Sus scrofa: one gene and its partners. The protein of the gene in region 2 purifies or fractionates together with the protein of the main gene of each other region. This does not show direct contact. Links are inferred from orthologs where the notes say so. Each region holds a gene or a part of one and is shown on either strand. Other genes may lie near its edges.

What was found.
Region 1: the proteins of ZNF704 (region 2) and FBXW11 purify together in Homo sapiens (affinity purification with mass spectrometry; 4 studies listed by BioGRID and IntAct, counting the BioPlex papers as one, with this or other methods). This does not show direct contact. The link is inferred for Sus scrofa from reciprocal best matches to the Homo sapiens genes ZNF704 and FBXW11.
Region 3: the proteins of ZNF704 (region 2) and BTRC purify together in Homo sapiens (affinity purification with mass spectrometry; 3 studies listed by BioGRID and IntAct, counting the BioPlex papers as one, with this or other methods). This does not show direct contact. The link is inferred for Sus scrofa from reciprocal best matches to the Homo sapiens genes ZNF704 and BTRC.

The regions. Positions count from the first base shown.
Region 1 is NC_010458.4:52,208,429-52,218,521, reverse strand, and holds the start of FBXW11 (F-box/WD repeat-containing protein 11), read right to left. Parts: upstream 6,122-10,093; 5' UTR 5,717-6,121; coding exon 5,672-5,716; intron 1-5,671.
Region 2 is NC_010446.5:55,733,850-55,743,754, reverse strand, and holds the start of ZNF704 (zinc finger protein 704), read right to left. Parts: upstream 4,725-9,905; 5' UTR 4,607-4,724; coding exon 4,112-4,606; intron 1-4,111.
Region 3 is NC_010456.5:112,562,784-112,572,190, reverse strand, and holds part of BTRC (F-box/WD repeat-containing protein 1A), read right to left. Parts: intron 8,935-9,407; coding exon 8,838-8,934; intron 8,131-8,837; coding exon 7,993-8,130; intron 7,526-7,992; coding exon 7,407-7,525; intron 5,617-7,406; coding exon 5,367-5,616; intron 4,875-5,366; coding exon 4,756-4,874; intron 3,084-4,755; coding exon 2,973-3,083; intron 1,512-2,972; coding exon 1,433-1,511; intron 1-1,432. UniProt on the Homo sapiens protein: Substrate recognition component of a SCF (SKP1-CUL1-F-box protein) E3 ubiquitin-protein ligase complex which mediates the ubiquitination and subsequent proteasomal degradation of target proteins. Recognizes and binds to phosphorylated target proteins.

The DNA of each region.
Region 1 (10,093 bases), on a different chromosome or scaffold from region 2:
AGTTCCCATCGACAGATATAAAAGGAATTTGGTTTCCTGAATACTCTTCTATCAAGCACTGAGATGTATATAAATCAACGTGTATGTGCACAGAAGTCTGTAAAGAATGGTTACAGGGACTATGGATGTCTGTGTGCCACACACCACCCCCCTCCCCCCCTTAGCAGTCTTTCTCCTCTGTTCATCTCCACCTTGGCCTGAAGATTATCAAAAGGAAAGCTTCAAATGGTTTCACAGCATGAAAAAAAAAAACCAACCTAACATTAATTTAATCAATATCTGTCGCACAGTGAAGCCTTCAAAGGATAATCAGATATGGCCTCTGCAAGGGAAGCTTAGACACAATCAAACTTTTATGATACACAGGAAGGTCTAATATGTCCCATAAGAGTTAGGAACAGATGATTATGAGAATAAGTGATAGAGAAAAGAATTTCCAGAAAAGAGGATGGCTAAGATATAAGGCAGAGAGCAATAATACATGTAAACAATCAACAGGAAAATTCAACTCAACATTTACTGAACACCCACTACAATAAGGCACTGTGAGGAGTTTATTATTTAATAGGGGACACAAACAGGAAACTGTAATACAAGCCCAGAATGTTAAGTGCCACAAGATAAATACAAAGTGCCAGAAGTCATTCATTTCGTTTAACAATGATTATCGTGTAAGCAGTACTAAAGATATAAAAACAAAATGCTATCTGCCACCATAATACAAACTGACATCAAAAAGAGGAGGCATCTAAATTGTGTTCTTAGGGGATAGGACTTTATCAGCATAGGTGGAAGAGAAGATTCTTGAGATGTGCCCAAAACCAATTTGGCCAGAGAGCCAACTCTTACTTAGGTCCTTCCATTAAACTTCAGAAGCCTTTGCTACCTGGGCTTCATGTTCATGCTGACAAAGGAAACACTGAGCAGAATCGGAAGAACCATAGTCCTCCTTGCTTTGGCTGGAGTACAGAGTAAGTGAGGAATGTGGGAAGAAAAAGCTGGAAGGCAGGATGGAACTGGAGTGCTTGAAACACTTTCTTTCCCTAGACTCCAGGTACCTCACAGTGCAGAAAAGTTTTTCCAAAATTCATAGGACCAAACAGTAGTGCTCAGAGGGAAATGTGTGCTATTCCGTAAACCTATGGAACACGCCAGTGATGCTCCTGGGGGATACAGTGCTCTCAGTTTTCCGGGTACAGCAGTTAGAAGCCAACTCTTCTGAGGAATATCATGTTTATCCTGGTCAAATCTGAAAGGACATCTAACCTACTCCAAAACTGGGTAAAAATTGAAAATATTTGAGACAGTATCCTGAAGCAGGTCAGTGAGGCCTATAAAATATGTAATTTATTTCATTGGGACCCTACTTAAACCTTTGTCTATTTAACTGCATTTGGTATCTCAGCACATGGCCAGAGGCAGATGCAGATAAGTGATGGTGACAAAGGAAGACCCAACTGCTTAAAGTCACTTGACAATCCCACTTACTCCACTTAGAAAGCCAATGACAAGAAGGGGGGGGGGATCAAAAAGTAAAAGAAGATAACTATTTCCAATAAATCACTTCGTTTCCTTCATCTCCTTGGCCTTGTGGCCAGTCTGTGCTCTGATAGCTGTAAAAATAGAAGTGATTATTAAACCTTCTTAATAAAGTCCAATTGTATTTTCCCTCCTTTACTATGTTCACCTAGTAACATAACCCCTCAGAGAAAACAGAGAAGGGAAATGACTCACTTAAGGTCACTTAGCAAAGAGGGGGAGCCATTCAGCAGCTAACAATAGAGTACAAAGTGCTCATTGCTTGACTAAAGGAGGGGGGAGGGGTACGCTCGCACGCACCCACCCCAGAAGCAGGATTATCTTTCCTAAATTTTTACATCAACTTCTATCTTCTAACAGGTAGGACTAAGCTTTCTCTTCCATTAGCAGCTCTGTGAGTGCTTTCTAGTAATATGTGCCTGAACATCAACTCATATTTCCAACTCAAGTGTTAAATATCATGTGATACACAACGAAAGGTTTTCCTTCTTTCCAGGGAGGTCTAGCACATTAGACAAAGCCTGGGGAACTTTTCTTAGTGTATTTCCAAATGGATTACTACTTTTCTACCTTGTGGATAAATAAAGCTAATTTTATCAAAATTGGCAGTTTGAAAAACAGTCCCACAAACTAGGTACAGTGTTAGGGCCATATAAGGCCGTGAAAGACATGCGGTAGTTAATTATTCACCATCAGCAAGCATAAATTCAGTTGTCTCGATCCAGAATTTATTGTCTATATTAAAGACTGAATCCGGAGTTCCCGTCATGGCTCAGTGGTTAACGAATCCAACTAGGAACCATGAGGTTGTGGGTTCGATCCCTGGCCTCACCCAGTAGTTTGGGGATCTGGCATTGCCGTGAGCTGTGGTGTAAGTCGCAGATGAGGCTCGGATCCCGCATTGCTGTGGCTTCTAGTGAAGGCTACAGCTCTGATTAGACCCCTAGCCTGGGAACCTCCATTTGCCGTGGGTGCGGCCCTAGAAAAATACAAAAAGACAAACAAACAAACAAACAAAAAAGACTGAACCCTATGAGGGAGGTCAGCTGGAGAAGCTTTTTGTGGACCTGGCCGCAGACCAGGGTAGGAGTCACAATGGAGGTTATATTTTGAAGATTTAATTATTCTGCTATCACCAGTTTTATTTCCTAGTAAACTAAAAAAGCACAAGGAAAAAAGGGAGAAAGAACCATAATCAAAGAAAGTAGAGGGAGGAAGGTTAAGAAACTGGTAAAACCCAAGAAGTCTGCTTCCTTCCTTTGATATAGCACACTCTGGAATATGAAATGAAAGTTATCCTGTTAACCATTAAGTACCGAACTGGTACAGGCCGCACAATCACAAATATTTGAATACTGAAGCTGACTCATAAAAATCTAAAAATATTTCATGCTTTAGGCTTTCAAAATACCACCAGTTTAACCCCTTCCCCTCCTTTCATCATATTATTTTGAAACCAATGTAAAAAAATTTTTTTTCTTAACCTAGTTTTGGAAACTGTAATGAAAATGCAATGAATACAGAAAGCCACATGCAATTGGATTTTAAAGCATTATCATTCCTACATCTGATCCGGGATTCAGTAAAGTGGTTGTTAAGTACCTGTGCTATCTACTACACTAAAATAAACACACAAATGTTCATCAAAAGGATTGCCTAAGAGTCTTAACTGGTAGCTCTTTGAGGGAGTATCAAAATCCATATATGAAAAGGCATTTTAAAATTGATCTAGATAGCTGTTAAATTTTTTTGTTAAACTATCTTAAGAATCCCAGTTTGTAAAGCCCTTGAAAGAGCTGAAATATCTTTTCAGATCACAGACACAATTATGTAAAATCAAAACTTTTTCAATTTATAAGCATAGGAAACCAGTATATTTAGGTCAGAGATTTTTTTTTTTCTACATCCACTCAAAACACTAAATGGATTACACTGTATTCATTTCTAATTCTCTTCAAAATAAAGACATTTTAGTTATTGTTTTAATGGCATGTAAATGGAAGGAGCACTGAACACTTTCAAAGAGGTACCAAGTTACAATTTTCTTTTTCTTTTTTTTTTTTTTTTGTCTTTTTGCCATTTCTTGGGCCGCTCCCGCGGCATATGGGAGATTCCCAGGCTAGGGGTCTAATTGGAGCTGTAGCTGCCAGCCTACGCCAGAGCCACAGCAATGCTGGATCCGAGCCGTGTCTGCGACCTACACCACAGCTCACGGCAACGCCGGATCCTTAATCCACTGAGCAAGGGCAGGGATCGAACCCGCAACCTCATGGTTCCTAGTCGGATTCGTTAACCACTGCGCCACGACGAGAACTCCCCCCAAGTTACAATTTTCGATATGAAGCACTCCTGTTGTAAATACATGTATTACACATACATGTAAGCATATATACTATATATGCAATTCCAGTTAAGATATTTTACTAAAATAACCCCTTACAAAATTTGCAGATTATCAAAGGCTTGATTACAAAAGTTTGATAAACTTTACTGAAAGGAAAAATTACTTAATAAATTACTTAATAAATGAAAATCAAACTTATGGTGACAGTATCCCTTAGAAAGCAACCACACCAGTGCGCGCACGCACACACACACCCCAGAAACTACCAGAGCTTTTTTTCCCCTCTAGTTTTCAAGACTGCTGAAGAAGTCTAGTGAATTATGCAAAGGACAGCAAATATTAAGCTGCCTCCATATTTATGCTACTGTACTTCCATTTTTAAAACATGCACCTCAACTCCCCAGATACCATCATCCACAGACACCATGCAGCTATCCAACAGACTTTCAATGTCACCATTTATTATTTATAGCATTAAATGGGGGAAGTGGCTCTGATGTCACCGACCCTACCCAGTGGAATCACTGACTCAATAAACATTTTCACACTGGAGAAAATCTGGCTAGGAAAACGTTTTGCTGTGTTAAGTAGATTCTTTCACCTTTCCTCTCAACCTTAGAGTAGAAGTTGTTACTGTATTAGAAGAGATACAAAGAAACTGTCAAGATTTCCACAGGAAGAAAGCCTGGGCCTGTCCATTTGCTGAGGCAAAGAGCTTCCCCTCCCAGCTCTCCAGAGCCCAGTTTGATTTCCCTAGTATTCCAATTGGCAGGTAATAGCTATCATATTTTATTTCTTCCACCAAGTCATCCACCAAAGAGCAAGTTCTTCGTTTCTACTAGCCACTCTCTCGTGGCCCTGTTTCTAAAAACCTTAGGCTCCAAGTCCCAAGGCGGAGGGGGGGTTGGGATTCGTGGGGCCAGAGGGTCTGGCCTGGGTACCAAAGGTTTCTAACAGAAGAGTGATCGATTTCCCAGGGGCCTAGGATTCTCTCCTACTCCTTTTCTAGAAGAAAGAACTGGCGGCGCAGATGAGGACAAGCCCTCTTCCCCCTCCCCAATTTCCCAGAGCGGCTCTGGAAAACGTGAAGTTACAGTGTCTCTTTCCTGGGAGATGGAATCCAGAGTACCTGGGGCCTCGCTATCCAAACATCCCTCTCGGCCGGGTAGGAAACCCTTTGTCCGAGAAGCCGGACACCACAGGGGCCCAGGAAAGAGGCCCCTTATCGGTCACAGCCTCAAACCCGAGAGCTCCCCACCTCCACCCCTGTAGGGCCTATGCCGGCATCCACACAGCCCTGGCTTGAGAAGAGGGTGCTGAGAGACCCCTTCTAGGACGCAGAGGCCGAGACCCCAGGTCGATCTTCTCTGTACCCCCTCCCATCACCATCTCACTCGGCCTGAGTGGGGCTTGCAAGAGCGATGCAGGCCTGGCCGGAGAATTAGAAAAAGAAAAAACAGAAAACCCCTTCTAAGGGAGGAAGGAGATGCTTGAGCGAGTGTGAGCTAAGGCCACAGCACAAGCGAGCGAGGGTCGTTCCAGGGATGGGCCCAGAGACAGGAGAGAAGGGAGGGAGGGAGGAAAACCGAGGGGCATGGAGGGGGCCGGACCAGGTCCGGCCTGAGATCTCGAGGGATCCGGAGTAAAGCGCGCCGGGCCGGAGGGCCCAGGTTCGGGCCGAGGCAGCGGGGAAGGGCCAGGGCCGGCCTCGCGCCGGACGTTGAGATGGGCAGGCCCGCCCGGGGCCGGACGGACGGAAGAACGGACGGTCCAGCGGGCCGCACTCACCATGAGCTCGATGGTCTTGTCCTCAATCACCGAGTCGGGCTCCATGGCGGCCCTGGCGGCCCCGCCTCGCTCTCCCCGCGCAGCAGCGAACGGCCCGGGCGGAGGAGGCGACGGCGGAGGCGGCAGAGGCGGAGGCGGCTATCGCACCCACTCTAGCTGCCAGCCCGCCCGGGCCGCCGGCAGCTCCGCCCTCCCCCTCGGCGAACGCAGTACGCAGAGCGAGGACTACAGCTCCCGGCAGGCGCCGCGGGTCCCGCAGAGCGTTGTGGGAACGAGAAGACCCCGCCAGACCAATCTCTCCTAGCCGTCCGAAGCTGAATTCTCAGCCGAAAGTAGCACGGGACTGCGAATGAGAGACGTGCAGACCTAAAGAATTACGGGCTTCCTCAAGGTGGGGCTTCAGGTGCGCGCCTACTACATATCCCAGAAAGCCCTGCGCGCGGGTTCTCTTTCCGGCTAGTTTCTTCTGACTTCCTGGCAGCCCGAGGCTCCCCGGACCCGGACGGAAACTCCAAGGCAACTCTTCACTTGCCAGCGATCCTGCGTGCGCGACCGATTTCCGCACATGCGCGGTCTGTGCCTGCAGTGCCCGCTCGACACCTAAGTAACGGCACGGTTGGTCTGGCCTCTGTGGCAGGGTGAGGTGTTGGCGACAGGTGGGTTCTAGGAAGGGATGGTCTTGGGGCTCAAGTGTCGGAGGGGGGCCAGCGAGCGAGAGAGCTCGGGCAGAGAAGGAGGCTCTGAGAGCATGGGCGTCCCAAGAGTGGCGTCCCAAGAGGGGTTTGGAAATTTAGTTGAGAAAGAGGAGTTTTGTGGTCTCTGTGCACCACGTACTGGGAGGAACTGAGAGGTGAAAGAGAACCTATTATTCATTCGTTTAGAAAGTATCTTTTAAACTTCCAGCCTCTGCTCGTCACTAGCCTAGGCCCTGGGAATCAGCTCTGATCCCTACAGACAAGGCTTCTCTTCTCACGCAGCGTAATTCTGGTAGGGGGAAGACAGACATTAACCATAAGAAGGAACACAGCTGGAGATGCCCAGTGAATTCTGCCTCCAGCTCGGTATAAACCTTATCAGGTCTGTCAGTAACCTCAAACCAAAGACGACAAAGGCCCGCTGAGAATTAACAGGTTGGGTTTATTGCTGGTTGCAGAGAGAGAGAACACACACCATGAAGAACTGTGGGGCATCTCAGGAGGAGTTGTCAGGTGATTTGGATGAGGGTTTAAGAAAGTGGGACTTTACCCTGGATAAGATGCTGTCAGAAAGTGGAGGTAATTTTATGATTGGGCATCTCAGTAAATGTTATCTAGACGGAAGGACTACTAGACGAGGCTGAAGTCCTGATTGGTAGAGAAGCAGGAGTCCCTCATTACCAGAATAAGGGCTATTTGGTCATTTTTTGTGGTTTGAACAATGTCCCTGTTTGATCTGTGTTCAGATTTAATTAGGAGTGGTTTCGCTTTTGTATTGGTCTATCATGGCCATAGAATGGCTTTGTCTAACATTTATGTTCTATGAAATTAGGTTCAACAAGAAAACACGAGGCCTAGCTAAGAGGACCAGGCTATCATCTAGTAACATTACTGCCTGTTTGATTGTATCAGGCCAGCTGCCAAATGTCAAAGGCTACTGTTCTCTTTCTCAAGTGTTTTGCATTTTCTGCACCTGTAAAGGGAAGGGACTAGATGACCTCTAAGTCTTTCCATTTCCAAGCACCGAATTGCTACAGTAATTTGTATGCATGCAGGACACAGTGTAAGTTCTGTTCAATACAGTTTTAAGTTTAATGGCCCTTATCCGATGCTTTCTACTTAGGGAATTGAAAGAAAAGCAATAGGAAGAACACAGAATTAAAAAGCTATTATTCCTAACATGGTGTCTGAATTTCACCAGACCCCTTTGCCTCTCTAGGCTTTGAGACATTCATTAGTTAAATAAAGGGATTGGAATAAATGACCTCTATTTCAGCTACCTATTGCATCATCATAAACTACCTCTAAGACTTAGAAGTTTAAAATAACAGTGCTTTCTTATTCTTTGCAATTGTGTGGGTTAACTGGACTCAGCTGGTCCCACGTAGTATAAGCCGAGATTACTCATGAGACTGCAGTCAGCTGGGAGCTCATCAAAACAGCTTCCTCATCCTCCAGGGCCTCTCTCTTTACCTGACTTTTTACCGTTCAGGCTTCTGCATGGTGACTAACTTCCAAGAGGACAAACCCCGTTGAGCAAATACTTATCAAGCCTCTGGTTGCACCACAGTTGTTAGTGTGTCACTGGCCAAAACAAGCCATATGGCCAAGCCCAGAGTCGGGGTGGAAGGGTCTACACAAGGTTGTGAATACAGAGAGTCGTCGTGCATTGGGGGCCCCCAGTGTAACAGTAATCAGGGCCTTTAAGGGCCAGCACTTGTCACAGGACCTAGCAGCTGAGATTAGGATAGGAGTCACAGCTGAATATGAACCCCTCCATGTGTCTGTTTATCCTGCACTGTCTTTTTTATTGTTTCAAAATTTGATAGTTTCACATTTTAAAATCTGAATTTCTAACTTCTCTTGGAAAGTTAGACTATTCGACTATCAGATCTGCATGGCAAAAATATGCAGAAGTTAAGTAGCAATTACCTTCTTTGTTCAAAGCATGTACGCTATAGATTGCCACTGTTACCACAGCTCCCTGTTGTCTTTACTCATTTAACTTGTATGCTGAATCCATATAGATATTTGAGCTTGCAACCCTTGGCAATGGGACTGTAATGGAGATAACTCAAGGTTTCTGTCCTTTTATTAAAACCATATCCCACCTTAAGAGGAGAAAATACTAATATTATTGGGTCAAACTCCAGGAGCTCAGTGAGATGAAAAAGTTATTATATAGGACAGAAGTTGTTCCCAAGCTGTTGAAGAGGCAGGCTTATCACTTTGTTCTCTCCTTGTCTCAAACAAGATCTCAGGTGCTCAGGTATTTTTATTGACTCAAGCTTGATGCCAGCTGGTGATTAGATTTGGTCATCTATAAAGGCAGAAGACCTTGAGGCATATGTTCCCTCTATTTTTCAGATAGCTCTACACAGATAGCTAACAAAAAAGAAAGCTGGTACAGGTCTACAATCCCTGAACCAAAAACCTGAAGTCCAGATATGCTCAGAATTCAGAACTGTTGCGATTGTACAAAGGCTGTATGATGCACATACTATATATATAATGTAACACCCCCAGTGGGTTCTAGGTCAGCATTTTATAATCACATACATTGATTTTCTGCAGCAGAGCATATGTGTGCCTACTATCAATTTATAGCCTCTCAGTTCCAAATCCACCCTTCTTTTCCATTCTTTGAAATACTGGAGTAGGGCCCTGTAAGTATTTCTCCCCTGCCAGCTGGCACAGTGTTGACTGCTGTCAATACAGAGACCTAGAGGGAAGCAGCCAAATGAAGAGTCTTCTTTTCCTCATTCCAGAATATTTTCTTTTCCTTCTTGCCCTTGTGGTGGCACACGGCAGCAAATAGTCTGCAGAACTGTTATCCCTCTCTCAGCGCACACACACTTCACCATCCAACAGGCCATAACTGTCCTCTTTCTAGTGAAGTCTGAATCCAAGCTAACAGTGGAGGTGAGAAGGCTCTTTCAAAATTGTCCTTCCTTGAGTATTCAGCCTCACCCTATACGTAGTGGCTATTCCCTGTAACGATTATTTCTGTATCCTTTAGACTTGTCTTTACCCCTTAGTACTTAATACCTGTTACCAGTTAATATTTAAATTTTCTCAAAAGAGAGAGTGGCAGATGTGAGAGTATGTGACCTCCAAGACTGGATCATAGACTTGTGGGTTCCTCTTTGCTCTCTCCCTCGGGTTACTCGCTCTGGAGGAAGCAAGCTGCCGTGTCATGATGACACTTGAGCAGCCCTATGGGATGTCCATGTGGTGAGGAACTGAGGCCACCTGCCAACAATCAGCACTAACTTTCCAGGCCTATGAGTGAGCCATCCTGCCCCAGTCAGTCCTTCAGATGACAGTAGCCCCATTCAGTTCTTAACCTCATGAGAGATCCTGAGCCAGGATCACCCATCCAAGCTACTCTTGGATCCCTGACCCACAGAGACTGTGTGAGATAATAAACAATTGTCATTTTAACCTGACAAATTTTGAGGTTTTTTTTTTTTTACACAGCAATAGACAACTAATAAAGGTACCCGCCCCAAAAAAGAGCTCGTTCAAAATACTGAACGCAGTTCTCTTTTAATCTAGGCCCTGTAAACCCTTGATAGAGCTTTGTGTCTTTCCCTTTTTTATGAATACTTTTGAAGGTAAAGAGCAGCATTTTAAAATAGTATGTTTTGACCTGTGCTGAGTTTTCTGAATTCAGATTGTTTTAGAAGAGGATAGTGCAGTGAAATGTTGACTCATTCCCAACTAA
Region 2 (9,905 bases):
AAGGCTGTCCTCCGACCTGCTACACTCACTTTCCCGTCCCCAGCTTTAAATGACATCTACGTGTCTCCCTGCTTTTTCTCTCGAGCCCTAACCTCTGCTCTCAGCTCCATCGCCTACCACCCTCTGCCCACTTGCACTTTCCATGTGCATGTCTAAGCATCATCTCAGACTTTACATGCCCCAAACAGAATACCTGATTTTTCCCCTCACAAACAGCCGTATTTTCCCAGTTTTCCCAATCTCAGCAAATGACACATCTAGCCAACCTTTACATCGGGGCCTTATCCCGGAATTCTTTCTTCTGTCACCAGCCCCCATCCCACCCCACACACACACACCTAATCCATCAGCAAGTTATCATAGGTAGATCTTCACAATGGATCCTGAATTTGTCCTCTCCTAACTCCACTCTTAGTCCAAACTGCCCTCAGCTCTCACAGGGACTGCAGCAATCACCACCTAACTGACCCTCCTGCTTCTCCCTGCTGTCCTCTATCCTCTACACAATACAACTTTATTAAAAATACAAAGCAGGAGTTCCCTGGTGACCTAGTGGTTAAAGGATCCAGCATTGTCATGGCTGTGGCTCGGGTCTGATCCCTGGCCCAGGAACTTCTGAATGTTCTGGGCACTGCGAAAGAAAACAAAAACAACCACTTTGCATGTCTTCACTGCTTAAAACTTTTCAAGGATTTCATATTCTACTTTAAAAAGGCCCACCAAGGGAGTTCCCTCTCTGGCACAGTGGGTTAATGATCCCACTTGTCTCTGTGGTGTTGCTGGTTCAATTCCTGGTCCCATGTAGCTGTGGCATAGGTCACAGCTCTGGCTTGGATTTGATACTTGGCCCAGTAACTTCCATACGCTGCCCATGTGGCTGAAAGAGGGGTGGTGGGAGGCCCACCAGGGAGTTCTCTTGTGGCACAGCGGGATATGGATCCAGCATTGTCACTGCAGTTCCTTGGGTCACTGCTGCAGTGTGGGTTCAATCCCTAGCCCAGCCCAGGAACTTCCACATGCCACAGGCACAGTCCAAAAAACGGGGGGGGGGGGGGGGAGGTGGGGAGTTCCCTTCCTGGTATAGCAGAAACTAATCTGACTACTATCCATGAGGATGTGGGTTTGATCCCTGTCCTTGCTCAGTGAGTCAGGGAACTGGCATTGCCATGAACTTTGGTGCAGGTCGCAGATGTGGCTTGGATTCCACGTTGCTGTGGCTGTGGCACAGGTAGGCAGCTGTAGCTCTGACATTCGACCCCTAGCCTGGGATCCTCCATATGTTGAGGATGTGGCCCTAAAAAAAGCAAAAAAAGGGACCATGTTGCTGGCCTTTATCTGCCTCCCTGACATATATCTAGTTCTAGCCACACGCACTCTTTTCTCTTTCCCACCTCAAGCCATCTGCAATAGTTATTCCCTCTGCCTGGAAAGATCTTCCCAAGCTGCCTGTCTCTGATCTTAGAACAAATGTCCCCTCCTTGGGAGTTCCCTTTGTGGTGCAAGTGGAAACGAATCCAACTAGTATCCATGAGGATGTGGGTTTGATCCCTAGCCTCACTCCCCCTCCTTGGGAGTTCCCTTTGTGGCGCAGTGGAAACGAATCCAACTAGTATCCATGAGGATGCAGGTTTGATCCCTAGCCTCACTTGATCCTTTGGGTCAAGGATCTGAAGTTGCCATGAGCTGTGGTGTAGGTGCAGAGGAGGCTCAGAACCCACACTGCTGTAGGTGTAGCATAGGTTGGCAGCTGTAGCACCCACTGGACCCCTAGCCTGGGAACTTCCATATGCTGTGGGTGTGACCCTAAAAAGCAAAAAAAAAAAAAAAAAAAAAAAAGGAGAGAGAGAGAGAAACAAACAAATGTCCCCCTCCCCCTACTAACTTTCTCCTTCTCCTCCTAGACCCTGAGATTCCATGATTTCCCTCATCCCATGCATAGAAATCTCCAGTGCCGTGCTTATTTATTTGCTTGTTTGACTGACTTGTTCTGGCTCCTCGTACTAGATGTAGGCATCTGGAAGGTGCTTATTGCTGTGTTCTAGACTAGTACCTGGCACATGCTAGGTGCTCAATAAATATTTGAATATATGAATGCATAAATATGCATAAGATATTGACATGCTCATATGCATTAGAATAAAATGAATCTGGGAGTTCCTGTGTAGCTCAGCAGGTTAAGGACTCAGCATTGTCACTGCAGCCATTTGGGTCGCTGCTGTGGCACAGGTTCAATCCCTGGCCTGGGCACCTTCACATGCTGCGGGCAAGGCCAAAAAAAATATTAAAGAATAAAAATGATCCTGTTTTATTCATGAGAAAGCCTCTTTAGATGCAGTGTCAAGAATGTTTTAAAGCAGTAAAAGATTGTAAAAATTATACCTCAAATGACCCAATATATAAATTCCTAAAAAGTTATGGGCAAAACATTATAAAATGAAGCCCATTTTGAAAGAATTTAAGGGCAATTTGTTTGGAGATATGAAAAATCTTTTTTGATAGCGTGAATTATCACACCCTAGTTCTTTTGTTTTTATAGATTTGGGTTGTGGTTTTTTTTTTTTTTCCTACATTGGGTTTGCTTTGATCACAGAGCATAAATTATAATTAATTTTTTATCACAATTTGTGCAACCGCTGTTCAAATCACAAGGCATCTTTTCAGCATTTCTGGACAAAAATACTAAGGAGTCACTACTCTTGTTACTTAATGTCACCAATGCCATGTGACTTAATTCCAAACCCAGCTATATCCTGCAGTGACACAATGCAGGCTTTTTATTCGACCATGGTAATGAGTGTGTTCATGGTCTGGATTCCAACAAGCAACTGTCAAAAACTATCATCCCAAGTGACTACTGGCTGGAAATTTCTCACTCCCAGAGCTGGTACTTCCAGGGTGGTCTAGGAAAGAAATTTGTGCCATGTCTACTCTGGGGCTATTCTAAATGCTGATGTTTAACATTTCTTTGCAACTGCAATTTCATGCTTTGAGGAGCTGACTTTTTTTTCTGCAAGCCCCTGACAATTTTTTATAGTCTATATCTATTGACTTCATTTGTTTATGTTTTTCTTTCTGATATACAACAACTAGTAGTTATTCTGTTGATTTTAGGCACCACTCTTCAGAAAAATCGCTCACTCCATAGCTTACCACTTGCTGCCCTCAAAACTTCTTAGCAACATACACTGTGCATGAACCTCAACGTGGTTGGCTTTGTCCAATCACATGCCTGAAAGCCCAGCCAGTCAGTTGTGTAATAATAAACCCCTTATCTCCTGAAGATACACAAACGGAAAGATCTCTCGGTGCTTCAGTGCACAAGGGACTTCTCTAGAATTCTCAACAGAAACTCACATCCATTTTAAATGCCAATTTCCACACACACACACTTTCTCTGATTTCCTCTTTTTCTCTCATCTGCAATGTCGAAGAGAGGGGAAAAAAACCCAAATGCTAAACAATGTCGAGTTTAAACGCGCGGTGGTGGGGTAGCGGGTACTGCCAAAACCTGCCAACAAAATGCAGATACAAACCCAGGGCTTGCTTTTTGCTGTACTGGGTTTACCGGTTCCCTTACAGGCGCTTGTGATGGAAACTCACCGACAATTGTTCTTGGATGCAGACGGGGTTGAGAGATTGACAAGAGAAGCTGTTTGCTAGTTTCTATGAGCTTGACTAGCCCTCAGAATACGAGGAGGTGGACACTCGGGCTTCCTCAGGGAAGAATACCCCCTCTCACTGCCTCCTACCTCGCCTGTCCTCACCCGCCGCAGGTCCCGGCGCAGACCTGCGCCTACCTGGTCCCAACTCCAAGTTCCCCGCCTCACCGGGGAGAAGCGTCCTTTACCCGCACTCACACCGGACAGCGCAGCCGCCCCTGCCCAGGAGGAAAGGGGGAGCGGCCGCCGGGAAAGGTGCTGGGGCCCGAGCGGTGAGCTCATCAGTCCCCTCGTTCTGCCCCGCGCGGCCGCCTGCGCCGCCGGACACACCCCTCCGGGCCCGGCCTCTGCGGTCGCCGGTCCCGGCCTCAGCCCGCACCGCGCCGGGGCCCCCGGCCCCTGCCCTCCCCGCGCCAGTGGGTCCCGCGCGCGCCCCCGGACCCGGCACGCACCTTCAATGTGCCCCGGGCCGGGCCCTTGGGAAGCGCGCGACCGGGGCCGAGGGCCACGAAGCGTTCCTCGGCGTCCTCGTCGTCGTCTTCGCCGTCCACCACCTCGACGACCACCTCCTCGTCCTCGTCTTCCTCGTCGTCATCCTCCTCCTCCGCTCCCCCTCGGGGCTTTGCCTGCACCCGCCCGAGCCCCCTCCGCCGCCTGCTCCCGCCTTCCTCGTCCTCGTCTTCCTCCCCTAGCAGCAGCAGCACCGGAGACGAGGCGGCGGCGGCCCCGGCGGCCCGAGGGGGGCCGGTCCCGGCGCTGCGCGGCGTTGGTAGCGGCGGCCTCCAGCTCTCCGGGGCCGGCGCCGGGGCCGGGGCCGGGGCGGGGGGCGGGAGCCCAGGCAGCGCGCCTTCCCGGGCCGGCGCGGACGCGGGGCCGGGCGGCTGCAGCGCGGCGCTCCCCCGGCGGCTGCCCAGGCTGGAGCGCTTGGCTAGACGCCGCGCCTGCATGCCTGACCGCGGGCTGCCGGCCGCCGCCGCGCGGAGCCGGAGAGTTTGTCACCTCCCCCCTCCTCCTCCTCCTCCTCTTCCTGCCCGGGCGGCCGCTATGGTCGCAGGCGCCCGGGGCGCGGGGCTGCGGGGAGCTGCGGGGGGCTGCGGGTGCCGCCTCCCCGGGCCGCCAGCTGCCACTGGCTGCAGAGACGCGGGCGCCGCCTTCGCTGGACCGGCCTGCGGGGACGCCGGCGGCCGGCGGCTACGGCGGGGCGGCGCGGCGGCCGCGGGCGGGGGTGGGTGTGAGCGAGCGGCGCGCTGCCGCCTCCGCCGCCGCCGCCGCCGCCGCCGCCGCCCCGGAGCCACGGGCCGCGCTGCGCTCCATGCGGCCGGCGGCCGGGCCCGCGCGCTCCGGGCCTACAGCTGCCGTCTCCAGGCGCGAGCTGTTTGTGTTGTGTATTTTCCACCACCGCCCCCCTCTTCGCGAGCCATTCCTCGCAGCCCTCCGGTCCCCCCGTGCAGACAAAACCCGGACTGGATTTATTTCCCCTACCCAAAGCCTCCGAAAATCGGGTGTTTCCAAGCCTTCAGCCCAGCCGGGGAGGGGGGCGTGGGGGGGGGGCACGCTTAACGCGTGGCTGCTTATTCCTTTCCGAGGGAGGAGGATCGACTTCGCGGGAAGTAAGGTTGTTGGTCAAAGTCTGACTTTGAAGGGAGAGATTTGCCGCAAGTCGTTTAATGGTCTACCTGGCAAGGCGATTTACTCTTGAGCTTATGTGACATCGGCAACGGTGTACCAACTCGAGATTTGGGGTCAGCTCCTAACATGAATCATCAGACTCATGTGGTTGTTTGAGGTTCTGTTTCATGACATTGCCTGCTTTGAACACACCATTCTAGGCCCTGCCTGTTGGGCTCTCTTGGCACTGTGCAAAGTCTTGCAGCTTCTCGTTCTGCATTTTTACCTTGAGTGCCTGCTTGTAACAACTAAATTCCAAGAAGGCCGTGGGCTCTCACCAGTCAACGTGTAGATTACTGGCCCTTGGAGAAATCAAACAGGATGGGGAGGGGGCGGCTCAGTAATTACTTGAGGTTGTTATTTTAAAAATTAATGTGAAGTATGATCAAGTATGGAAACCAAGCGCATAACCAGCTGGACACAGAACTAAGGACATTGTCCGTTTCTAAGGATTTTTAGGTGTGAGGAAGAGAAGTCATTTGCTATTGTTTGGGGTTAGCAAACAGTAATTAATGCCACATAAGCAAACAGCTTGTATCGTAAGCGGTGTTCTTTGTACTGAAATCACAAGCCAAGTTCCACCTCTGTAGGTGAGGGCTGAGGAGGATCTCACTCATCAAATACTCTGGCAGGTGCCTCCAGGAGACTAGTGTAAACGATGTCCCCACCCTCAGCTCCCTCTCACGGTAATGACTGTGGGAGATTTAACATCACGCTTACACTTGAAGGCAGCTCATTAAATGTTCACTCAGGGTGGCTTCCAACTGTTGAACATTTCCACTGGGATGGTGACAGAGATTCTAAAATGAACTTTCTTTTCTCCCTGAATCAGATTAGCTTCCTGATATACCCATCCGGCTAATGACACTCTCATTATAATCATTAGGGCCCAAAATAGCAGTATCATGTTAACTCTCTTCTCTAGCTTATTCCTAGAGGTAGTTCCCCACAAGTCCACTCCACTGTTCTCTCTGAACTGCATCTTGAATGCACCCCTTCCTTTCCATTCCTAAAGCTCCTACGAAAATTTCATGACAACAAAAGTGAAAGTTTCAGAAGTTCCCTTGTAGCTCAGCGGGTAAAGAACCCAACATAGTGTCCTTGAGGAGGCAGGTTTGATCCCTGGCCTTGCTCAGGGGGTTACGGATCTGGCATTGCTGCAAGCTGTGGCATAGGTCACAGATGCAGCTCCAATCCAGCGTTTCTGTGCCTATGGCGTAGAATGGCAGCTGTAGCTCCAACTAGACCCTTAGCCTGGGAACTTCCATATACCTCAGGTGTGGCCCTTAAGAGGAAAAAAAAAAAAAAAAAAAAAAGCGAAAGTTTCCAACAGGCTCTCTACATCCAGTTTCTCAATAACACACCCTCCCCGACCCTGTGCAGACACAGCCATCTGATGCATCTTCCCCTAACTTCATTCAGATCAAGACATTTTCCCCTTGAACTTTTCATTGGTAAATATTCCATTCCAGAATTTAGAAAGAGAAAACAAAATGGTTTGAGCATCCTAAGAGGTGGGTGTGCTTGATCAAAGCATGGAACATCAGGGGTCAGTCAAGAAGTAAACTAATCAGTGTCAGTGAGTGTTTGCAGAGAAGGGAAGAGGGTCACTGAAAGGGTTTCATCTCATCTGCAAGAAATTTACCTTGGTTAGTTTGGGATATGATTTTAGAGAAAGGCAATAGGGTCTTTCTCTGACTAGGAAGAATAAAGATCAGAGGAAAAGCATTGGCTGACAGATACAGGGAAAGTGGTAGAGGGGAGCAAAGGTGTTAGTCAAGTGGACTAATGGTTAAACACATGGTCTTGGAGTTCCTGTCATGGCTCAGTGGTAACGAACCCTACTAGGATCCATGAAGATACGGGTTCAATCCCAGGTTCTGCTCAGTGGGTTAAGGATCGAGCATTGCTGAGAGCTGTGGTATAGGTCAAAAATGTGGCAGCTTGGATCCCACGTTGCTTCGGCTGTGGCATGGGCCGGCAGCTGTATCTCTGATTTGACTCCGAGCCTGGGAACTTCATATGCCATGGGTGTAGCACTAAAAAGCAATAAACAAACAAGCAAACAAACACATGGTCTTGGGAACCAGAGTACCTGGGTCTGAATCTTGGCTCTGGAATTTACCAGCCTCATACCATTAGTCACTCTCTCTGTGCCTCAGTTTCCTCATCTGTAAAATGGAAATAATAGCAATACCTATTTATTTGTGGGTTTTTTTGGTCGCACCCGCGGCATGCAGAAATTCCCAGGCCAGCAGTGGAACCTGTGCCACAGCAGTGACCCGAGACACGGAAATGGCAATGCTGAATCTTTATCCTAATGAGCCACGTGGGAATTCCAGTAGTACCTGTCTAACAGTAAACGTGTTTTGTAGGATAATGAGTTAATATATGTAATCATTTTAGAAAAGTGCCTGGCCACAGGGAAGGTCTATACAAGGGCTTGTATACACACACACATACACACACACACACACACACACACACACGTATACACACACACACACACACACATATATATATATATATGTGTGTGTGTGTGTGTTTGTTTTTCTTTTTGCACCTGCACCCATGGCATATGGAAGTTCCCAGGGTAGGAGTCAAATTGGAGCTGCAGCTGCCACCCTACACCACAGCCATAGCAATCCCAGATCGGAGTGGCCTCTGCGACCTACACCATAGCTCATGACAATGCCAGATCTTTAACCCATTGAGTGAGGCCAGGGATCAAACCCGAGTCCTCATGAATGCTAGTTGGGTTCATTACCACCAAGCCACAACAGGAACTCCAAGGGCTGGTTATATTAAATGAATGGTGGTACATAAACGAAGGGGTTTGTGGGTACTGTCAAAGAATAACAAAGCAGCTCTATTTGAACAAGCTCAGAACCATCAGTAACTACAAGAACCTGCTTTTAAAGCCCAACTACATCTTATCAATGGGCTATTGACAGTACAAAGATAAGCTTTTTATGTCTAAAATTGCCATAGATGATGTTCTCTGTGATCTCCTGAAAACTGGGAGGAAATACAGAATAAAGTGAGTTAGTGACTGGTATTTGTGGTTTAGTGGAAGAGGTACTAATTTACACCATTGCACTTTCTTCCAAAATCACTATAGGTGTTTGGAAATCAGCTTGTTCTTTCTCTCAGGCTACCTCGGTAGAGCCCACACAGCCATTCCCTGGTCCCATTGGGTCTGAGAGGCTGCCCTCTGCATGGGAGAAAAGGACTGACCTTGGTATTGGGACCACCAAGTTAAGGCCAATGTCATAAGAGGTTTGGCCCAAGCTGGGCTCTGAGGGAGGAGAAGGATCTAGATGGGCATGTAGAGCAGCATTATCCAGGCAAGTTCAAGCCACTGCAGGCCTGCCTTGTGAAATCAGAGCCTAGGTAGCAAGAAGTAAAGTCAAATCACCTAATTCAAGAACTATGTCCCGACATGGGCTCATGGCACACAGCTCATGGCTCTCAGAGGCTCGGAAGTCAAGAAATACCTCGCAACGCAAGCATGTGAGGAGGTGGTGCTGCTTCCCTCCCCTCCGCTCCCTAAACATAAGACATTTTTATTTCCAGTGCTGGGAACGCTTGCCACTGAGGGTGAGGTGTGCCTCTAAGTCACAGGATAGGAAAGGCACATCTTCCAGAGTGTCCGGTTTAACACGTCACCATTTAAACCTGCCACCTTTCATTCAATACATATTTATTGAGCCCTGCTAAATGCCAGGCATTATTCTTGGCACTGGTGTGCAACAATGCACAAAAGAACCCTCACTGAGGAGCGGGGTAGACAACAACCAAAGGAAATAAATGAATTCTATGTCATAAGCCCTACTGAGGAAAAGAGAGCAGAAGAGCGGGTAGACAGTGCTGGAGGTTTAATATAAAGAAGCAAATATTTATATTTGAGATTTATTTAATGTATTTATTTTCCAATGTATTATTTTATGTATTATATTTATTATAATGTAATTATTTATTATATTTATTATATAATTACCATATATAGAAACAGTAATTATTTATTATAGTTATTATAATGATTTATTTTATGATTTATTATAATGTGTTTATTATATGTATTATATAATTATAAATATAGCAGTTATTATATTTATTATAATGATCTAGAATTATATTTATTAAAATCTATTATGCTAGGGAGTTCCCGTTGTGGCTCAGCGGAAATGAATTTGACTATTATCCATGATGGTACAGGTTCAATCCCTGGACTTGCTCAGTGGGTTAAGGATCTGGTGTTGCTGTGAGATGTGGTGTAGGTTGCAGATGCAGCTTGGATCCTTCATTGCTGTGGCTGTGGCATAGGCTGGCAGCTACAGCTCCAATTAGACCCCTAGCCTGAGAACCTCTATATGCCATGGCTGTAGCCCTAAAAAAACAAACAAAATCTATTATGCTATGTTTAATATGTAATATTTCCTATTATATTTAATATAAATAAATGTGTTAAAACATGTCTAAGGGAGTTCCTGTCGTGGCACAGCAGAAACGAATCCGACTAGGAACCATGAGGTTTCGGTTAGATCCCCGGCCTTGCTCAGTGGATTAAGGATCTGG
Region 3 (9,407 bases), on a different chromosome or scaffold from region 2:
AAAACTGTAGGGATATTTGCTAGGGATTGGAGAGAGAGGATTAATATGAAGGGGCATCATTTTTGCAGTGACAGAAATGTTCTACATCTTGATTGTGGTGTTTCATAAAAGTACACTAAAAAAAGGACAAATTTTGCTGTACATAAATTATACTTCAAAAACCAGGCTTAGATTGTCTTTTTTGGGGGGAGGCACACCTGAGGCATATGGAGGCTCCCAGGCCAGGGGTCTAATTGGAGGTGTAGCTGCCGGCCTATGCCACAGACACAGCAATGTGGGATCTGAGTTGTATCTGCGACCTAAACCACAGCTCACAGCAATGCTGGATCCTTAACCTACTTAGCAAAGCCAGGAATTGAACCCGAGTCCTCATGGATACTAGTTGGGTTTATTAACCACCGAGCTATGATAGGAACTCCACAGATTAATTGTAAATGAAAGAAAGTACATATTTTATAATTGCTTTTTTGGTGTGCAGCAGCCAGATGTGAGATATCAGTTCCTAGACGAGGGACTGAACCCGGGCCAGACCTGTGAAAGCTCTGAATCCTAATCAGGGAACTCCCCTGAAAGTATGCATTTTAAAAACCTATGTGTGAAACATGCAGGTAAATCAGGTCTGGTGCTGAAAGAGTAAGTTTTAAATCCCAACAAGGAAGACAAAGAAATGCACTTCTCTCTTCTCCGGAGCAGAAGAGTTGAGAGTCAGGATTCAGAACATTGGGCTTCAAATGCTAGCTCTCATCTTTTTCCTGAGTTGTGCAAAAGATTCTGTCCTCCCTGGTGCCCCACCTATCTTTTGCTAAAGGAAGCAGCTTTCAACCTTAGGCTATTTTCTGATCTGGGCCTTTGGCTTACTCTTTGATAAAGAACTTGGCACTTTTGAGGTGAAATTCTTACTTCTGAGTCACTTCTTTCCCCAGATGTCAAGATGTTCAGGGAAGGGGAATATTAGAATAAAAGAAACAGGATTCAAATTGCTGGAAGCAGCATGCCTTAAATAGGAAGTGGAACTTGGGGATGACCGGGGGTTCGCGTAGACTCCCATGGCACTTATTGCAGGCACAGGTGTGCAGGTCCTCAGATTCTGGACAGGTTCCAATTTGAGTAATTATGTTCTCTCTACCTAAGTACCCCCTACTGTTTCTGGTGGATACAGAATTCTTATTCACTTCCTGTACTAAACTGTTGTGCAGAGTTGCTGTGCAGCTGTTGAACAGCTGCCACATTCCTCTCCATATACAGTCTCTAAAGTACTTTTGGATGAAAGGCAGCTATATAAACATATTTTATTGTCATGTATTGGTTGCCTTTCCACTTAGTAGTAAGCTTTGTGAAGTTCTAACTATCAAATCCAGATCTGTATTCCACAGCACATCAATGTTAATTTCTTCCTCTTCCTGCTCCCCAAACCAGTGAACAAGGCTCTTACCACAAGGGTCCGAAGACAGAGAGTTCCTGCAGGAGCACGGGGATCCAAAGCAGCTATAAGATCCCACACTTTAATTTTTCTAAACATCAAAAAGGGGACAAAAAACTTAGTTAAAAGAAAAATTAGAACACAGGAAGAATAGCAAAAAGTCATGACAATCAATATGCACACTGAAGACAGTTTATGATAAACGTAGCTCACAGGAATATACAAAAACTTTTTTGTTTTGGAGACTCGGTTCTTGCATTCATTCTTAGGTAGAGCTTATTGGTCTTAAAAGGGGAAAATGTACATGACTGACCTAAAAACAAGAAACAGGTTGGCTTTAACCAAACTGAAGATAGTGAATGGTAAAGTTATACCATACTCTATGGCCAAGAGGAGATCTTATATATTAGAACTCTCCATGATATGAGAGTTCACTTAGACCAATAAACCTACAACCTAGGCATTTTTCTTCTGGTCAATTCTAAGAATGGCCCAAGTCACCTGTGCCAGAGGACTGGGGTCCATTTAAGAGCTCTGGAGTTTATATAAGCAAATTCTCCTATTTTGATTTAAGTAAGAAAGGTTTACCCCTTCTGAAAATCAATTATAGGTCATGTCTCCTCAAGGTTAAGTAACAGACAAAACCCAAGAAAACGTGGGTATAGATCAAAACCAGAGCAATGAAAAAATACAACCTTGGACTTAGCTGGGACATGTTATCATACCCTGAACAATTAATTCCCCAAGGGTATGACAGTGCTGGCTGACTCAAAGGAAGTGGGATTGTTAACACTTACTGCTGTCTGAGTTGTCTTTATCAATATAGCCAGCTCATAAACTGAGATAACATTTTAAATTAGTTTCTAATATTTAACAAAGCTGCCAATATTTGAACTGTGGCCTTCTACTCCCCTAAATCAGGCATCCTGAAGAGAAGAAATGATAGAGAGCATTTCATAAGTGAACATACTTTTATAAGAATTTACTCTGTGCATATTAGCATTGCTGGACATGGGATCTATCCACAACATGAATGGACTCTATAACCACTGGAAATCAGACCGAAGGAAAAGAAGAATTACTGAACTCATTGTGAATAAAATGCTAGGTAGTAAAGACAAGAGAGCTATACTTTAGAAATCACTCAAAGGGATAAAATTTCAAGACCCTACAATCCTAAGCCCCCTCAAAGATACTATCTGCCAACATTTCAGTTTTATTAATAAGTCACTATTTTTACATGCTTATGCTGATATACTGGGTTTATCTGGCTCTTCGCTTTATAGGGCAAAACAGACAAATATATAATAACGACCCCCCCCAAATATTAATGAAAATCATGAGCAAAAAAGTACAATTAAACGATTGGGAAGAATATTTTGGAAAAGAGTAAACAAAGGAGAGCTGAATATACAAAAGACATAGGAAATACTGTATCAGACTCTTTCTGTGATATCTGTAATCTTTTAGAGATGAGGAAGGCTATATTAAATGTCCTCAGGCAGGAGGGATTAAGAAGTAGATGCTTTTACAACCCTTTTGGCAAACTCACCCATCATAGGCTCCACTGACTATCCTCTTATTATCAAATCGAATACAGCGCACCAATTCCTCATGGCCTTCTAATACTCGTAAGCATGCACCACATTCTATGTCCCATAATCTTAAAGAGAAAATTGAATCAAGGAAATTTTCATGTATTCTTTCCTAAGTTTGGAATGTTATAATAACATACTTCATATATCTTTTTAAACAATCCACACTCATAATACACAAATTTATTGCTTTTAATGTAATTTATTTCCTTTCTGCCATATAACTTGGGCAGAAATATGTACAATTTAATTCAAATATGTAGTATACATTTTCAAAGCATCAAGCCTTATATAATTCTGTAATCAGGGTCATAAAGAAATATAGAGGATGATGCTGCGAGTGCGGCCCTAATATTTAATAAAATTTTAAAAAAGACAAAAAAATATATAGAGGATGAATTCAATGTATACAGTTGCCTATGAAGGAAACAGCTAAGCACAGAAAATAATGTTTCCTGAAATCAAAGTTAATAAGAATGAAACACCCGAAGCTCCTACTGCAGCTCAGAGGATTAAGAATCCGACATAGTGTCTAGTGTCTACGAGGATGTGTGTTGGATCCCTGTCCTACCTCAGCAGATTAAGGATCCGGCATTGTTGTGAGCTGTGGCATAGGTTGCAGATGTGGCCAGGATCCTGCATTGCTGGGGCTGTGGTGTAGACCAGCAGCTACAGCTCCGATTCAACCCTTAGCTTGGGAACTTCCATATGCTACAGATGCTCTGTAAACAGGAAAAAAAAAAAAAAAAAGAAGAAGAAGAAAAAAGAAACACAGTATCAGTGACATCCTTCTCTCACAACGTATGTCCACCTCTGTCACTGAGGACACTCTCTGCTTTTGTCCTCTATCTAGGACAGTTTTTCTCATCTAATGAAATTGCAAAGTTCTCAAAAAGTTTTATATGCTAATTTAAATTGTATGCTTTGTGACTAATTCCAATGATTTCTAGGAATGATAATTCCCTTAGATATAACAATAGCTCTGCTATTTTTTCAATGGTCTTTTCATTCCCTTAGTACTTCTTTGGAGGGGAGAGGGCTGATGAATCTTCCAAATTCTTATGTGTGTCATTCATCTTCCTGAAGGGAAAACACCAAAAGACACTTCAATTTGTGGATTCTTCATAATTTCAAAGACTGGTAACTCCTTGGTCAGTTAGGCAATGCTAAGCAAACAAAATGTGCCATTTCTAATAGGGAAACATCTTTTTACTTTTTTTAAGAACAGTGAAAAAGAGAAAAGGTCTTTAGCTATTTATTATTACTTTTCAACTGTAGACAGGAGAAATTTAAAGAGAAAGTCCTCCATTTTAATCTCTCTCGCCCACTTCTTCATTCAAACAGTACCTTTCATTTTTTATTTTTAGGTTTTTTTTGGCTGCGCCTATGGCATGTGGAAGTTCCCAGACCAGGAATTGAACCCACGCCATAGCAGCCACCCAAGTCACTGCAGTGAAAATGCCAGATCCTTAATCCAGTGTGCCACAAGAGAACTCCCAGCAGTACTTTTTAAATAGGTCTATCCGGTGATAAAACTATTATAGGGAGGAAACACATCAACAAAAGGCTTTGCTGTGCTTCCTCTCTGCTTGGGGCAAACTTTTGACCTGTACAAAGCTACAGAAAGGAAAAACATTTTATCATAAACATTACACAGTTGGAGATTTGTTTGATCTGTGTGCAAACAATGAATGGCAGGATAATACTGATCCCTTCTGGGCAAGGGCACTTGCTGCTCACCTGATAGTGTTGTCAGATGAGCCACTCACAACCAGCCTATCTCTGTACTGCAAACAGGCAATTCCACGTTTGTGTCCATTTAAGGTCCGTACAAATTCACAAGTACTTGTGTTCCATACCTAAAACAAAAATAGCACTTGGCAGTTGATTTGGTGCTTTTACTAGTAAAATCTATGGCAAAATGGAGCCTTAGGAAAGCAGAAAAATAGAACTGGACTAATAGGGGGAATTTAACTTCTCAAACCAATCCAAATCAAATCAAAAACTGACAGGTTTAATTAAAAGTAACAAAGGGCTAATTTGTAGCTGGCCGCTATTACATGAGAATTCCTCAAACTAACATACTCTGATGGGGTTAGTCTGGTCTTGCAGACTAATTCTTGAACCTAAATTTACCCTTGTCTTTTTCATACTCAGCATTATTTACAGGAATAAAATACCTAACCAAAATTGTCACACAACTTCTCTCTCATTACCTTTTACACATAAACTAGTATCTGATTTAAATATTAAGTATTCTACAGAGATGGTTAGACACTCTGCCCTTGATCAGATTTCCATATGAACTCCCCTATTTCAAGCTGGGGACTTATTAAAAAAGGCCTTATTACCTTTATAGTCCTGTCCCCAGATGCAGAAACGATGTACTTGTCATCAAAGTCCACAACATTGACTGCAGCTCGGTGTCCAACAAGTACCCTCCGGAGGGTGATGTCAGTTGGGGAGGCCATATCCCATACCGCAATGGAACGGTCTTTGGAGCAGGTCACCATCATGCCATTATTGAAACGCAAGTGCAGAACAGCTTCACAATGGTGAATCAATGTGTTTAGCATTTCACCTGTATTTACATCCCACACCCTGGAACAAACAGCATTAAGATCATCTGAGATTGCAGTGGTCCTCAAGCTACAATCCATTACACCCCTCCCATGCTAATCTCATAGTTAGGGTTGCACCCTACTCTCCTTTTGCAGCTTTGAGATTAAGCTGCGGTAAAGTGCACTGATGGAGCATGGGGAAGTGGTACACAGACGACTGGACTGTGAGAGTGGGAAGAGGAAGGGGATGGGATGCTGCCAGTGTGAAATCCTTAAGATACACAACTTGGAAATCTGTGCTAGTTGTTTGGGGGCAGGAATGAGCCTGCAGCCACAGTCACCAGCTAATTGGCCCCAGACTTCGAGATGACTATAAAGCTTCTGACACTCAATCTGTTAGAAAAATTTAAAATTTAAGAAATACACGCATATATGTATTTTTGCCTGCACCCATGGCATGAAGAAGTTCCCAGGCCAGGGATCGAATCTGAGCCACAGCAATGACAATGCCGAATCCTTAACCAATAGGCCATGAGGGAACTCCACAATCTGATATATTTAATTAATAACTGCAGCACTGGTGGTCCCAAGAGGCAGCCCTCAGGTCTTAGAACAGATAGAGGCCAAGAAACTTCTCTAACAGATGACTCAGTACTATGGATCTGAGCTTGACGACTCTGGATCTTGGTTTTTACCACACAGGTCAAGGCCTAAGATTACCTAGACCCTAAATCTAAGGCCCCATTTCTGTGTCTTAAATGAGGGTAGGTATCAAGAATGGCCACCCCAATATATATATAGGTTTCGCAGCAGAGGGCAGGACCCTTGAATAGCTTGAGACTGCTGTGTGAGGATATATTTTGCTTTGACCACTCTACTTCTGTACGTTTACTTTGGTTTTACTAACACATTTTATTTCTTTTTCCAGTTTAACCCCCTCTTTCAGGAAATCATTTTTTCCCTTATCCTAGAAATGATGTTAGCTTCTATTAACTTTCAGCTTCCTTGAGGCACTCCATAAGCATCAATAAATGTTAAATGTTGATAACTCTAAGAACTGAGTCTGCTATGCCTTTAAGTCAAAAGACAAGAAAAAGAAATGGCCTTTTCTATTTACAGAGGATAACTTGGAAGGTAAACTTTTAACTTCAGAGAATCTAACAATGCAGTTAACTGCTTTTTTTTTTTTTTTCTATTTTTTTAAAGTTACTTTTGATGCATTATGTTTGCTAAACCCTTTAGCTCAAGGCAAAATTCCTAACAGAGGTTTCCAGCAGTGCTGCTGGTACCCAGAACTCAAGCTACACTGGACTCCAGCAGCATAATGGCTGTGTCATCAAATTACTAATGCCTCTGGAAATTGAAGCCCCCTCCCTGAGTGAAGCCTGCAATTAAAAACTGCAGGGACAGCAGGGGAGGGGCTGGCAAAGAGAGAGTACTGCTCACCTGTACACATTTTAAAGGAGATAATGCGTGCCTGCACTATAGCTATAACCACCTGAAAGGAAGGCTCCATTCCACTCATGTCATTCCCCTGTGAGGTGGTTTTTGTAAGAAATGCAAGGTTTACCACGTTTCTATAAGAGATGATTCCCCCAAATTAAAACAGAATATATAGTTTCTTAAATGTGCAGAAATGTAAACTTATCATAACCATTCCTAAATCAAGTTTTCTAGTTCTAGATTAACACAACTATGGAGGGAGCTGATGGTTTATTCTTTAGTTATAAAGTTTTCGAACTATGTTCATGCACATATATACAAAATTACTAAGACAGAATAGAGTACACCTGACATTTCAGAGTTCTAAAGATTATTGAAATTTTCTACCTGACTGTGGAATCCGACGATCCAGTTATGATCACCCTCTCATCATACTGGAGACACAGGACAGAACCTGTGTGGCCTGTGAGAATTCGCTTGCATTCCAATGTGCTTTTATCCCAGATCTAGGATGGCAAACAAGATCCTTTTGATCACTATGATAATGGGGTGCTGCAGAGACTTGCTGGCTCTATTTTGTGTTTGAGTCCCCAAAAGAATCAAAGCCCAGAGTAGTGTGGAATGCATTCTTCTCTATAGGTATAGCGAAGCACCTATATATATGTGGCTTCAGTACTAATGCAGACTTGATCCTTTTCATTAAGGAAACAGGGGTAGCCTATAATTATGTGAGGGCCAAAAGACTAATAGCCCATTCAGGGCACTTCAAGAAGAGAATTTAACCTTAGCACTACCCATTTGCATGTGTTTCTGTGGGTAAGCAGGTACTTTTCCTTAAAGGAAACGATTTTTGGCTTTGGGACTCTCACTTACTTTCTGGAAATACTGCTTAGAGTTTATGCTTTGGATTGCTTTAGGGATTGTAGTCCCCCTCACCCCTTCAGCCACCTTCCCATAACTGAAGAGACCTCACCTTGATTGTGTTGTCTCGAAGGCCACTTACTATCTTCTGATCATCATACTGTAAACAGTAGACTCCTTTGCTCGTTTCACTTCGGCAGTGGATTCTCTGTAAGCTATGTCTTCCACATCGCCAATTAGATTCTATCGTCTGAGAGGAAGGAATGGGTAAAGAAGCTGTAATTAGTTTTAGGGAACTAAACTCTCATCTGAATTTCATGGCAACCTATGACAAATGCTCAGTGCTCTACTCTACTGGATACACAGAACTTAACACATACTAAAAATGTAAAAACTTTCTTATTTTTAAAAATCTTTGGCCATGCCCACGGCATGTGGCAGTTCCTGGGCTAGGGATCGAACCTGAGCCACAGCAGTGACCCAAGCCACTGCAATGACAACACCAGATCCTTAACCTGCTGCACCGCAAGAGAACTCCCTAAAGATATTTTTAAAAAGCCACTATTTAAAGTTGTAAAATATTTTGCCACTTGCTATGACTCATATGAGGTTACCTGCTCAGTGCTCATCTTACATTTGTGGTAGCCATTTCTACCAGTGAGCTTCCACAGAGGCTCAATTCAGAAGATATTTGAATGACAGCTTATAAGTGCAACTTCAACAGTTTTAAAGCTATTATCATACTCTCTTTCATGTATTTATCAGTGAATAACTTAAAAGCTTTAAAATTTTGCTTGGCAATTTACTATATTTTATCTTCCCTATTCACTTGTGAAGAAACTGATTTTTAACCCACATCAATAAACCTTAATGGGTTTGCTATAACACTGCTGTTACTGAAGAATGTTGATGATTCTCTAGTATTTGGCAAATGCCCAAATATACATATATTCTTACCTCAATGTCTTGTATAATTTTAGGATAAAGTGCTCTATAAAAAGAGTTGGGAGGAGCATTCCCATCAGGAGGTTTGTTTTTGAATAAATACTGTCCCCTAAAAAACAAATATTTCCCAATAAAAATCATATTATACATTTACAAGGAACTTCATATTTCTTTAAAGTGTTTTCACAGTTACCATTCCATATAATCTGTAGTTATAATCTCCAGAGAGGTATGAAGTTAAGCTTGATGTCAGGAGTCCCACATCAGGAGGAACTCTCTGGGCTCAAATGATTTGTTTTTGGATAAAACATGATGATTTCCAATGCGGAACATCAGAGTGTCAGGTCTTCGGAAACATTATGTCAATAGACAAATGGAATGCTTATGGTCAGAATTCACCTACTGGTCTAATAAGATCTCTGTAATTGGCCTTATCTTTGAAAATTTTGTTAGTGATGATACTACCATCTTTGAACTAGGAACATGCCCCACAGCCTTTTTTCCACTGAGTAAAGCTGTGCCAGTGTCAGTTGGAGCCAGCATCATGGGCAGCAGGAATGCCTCTGCCACAAAGATCACATT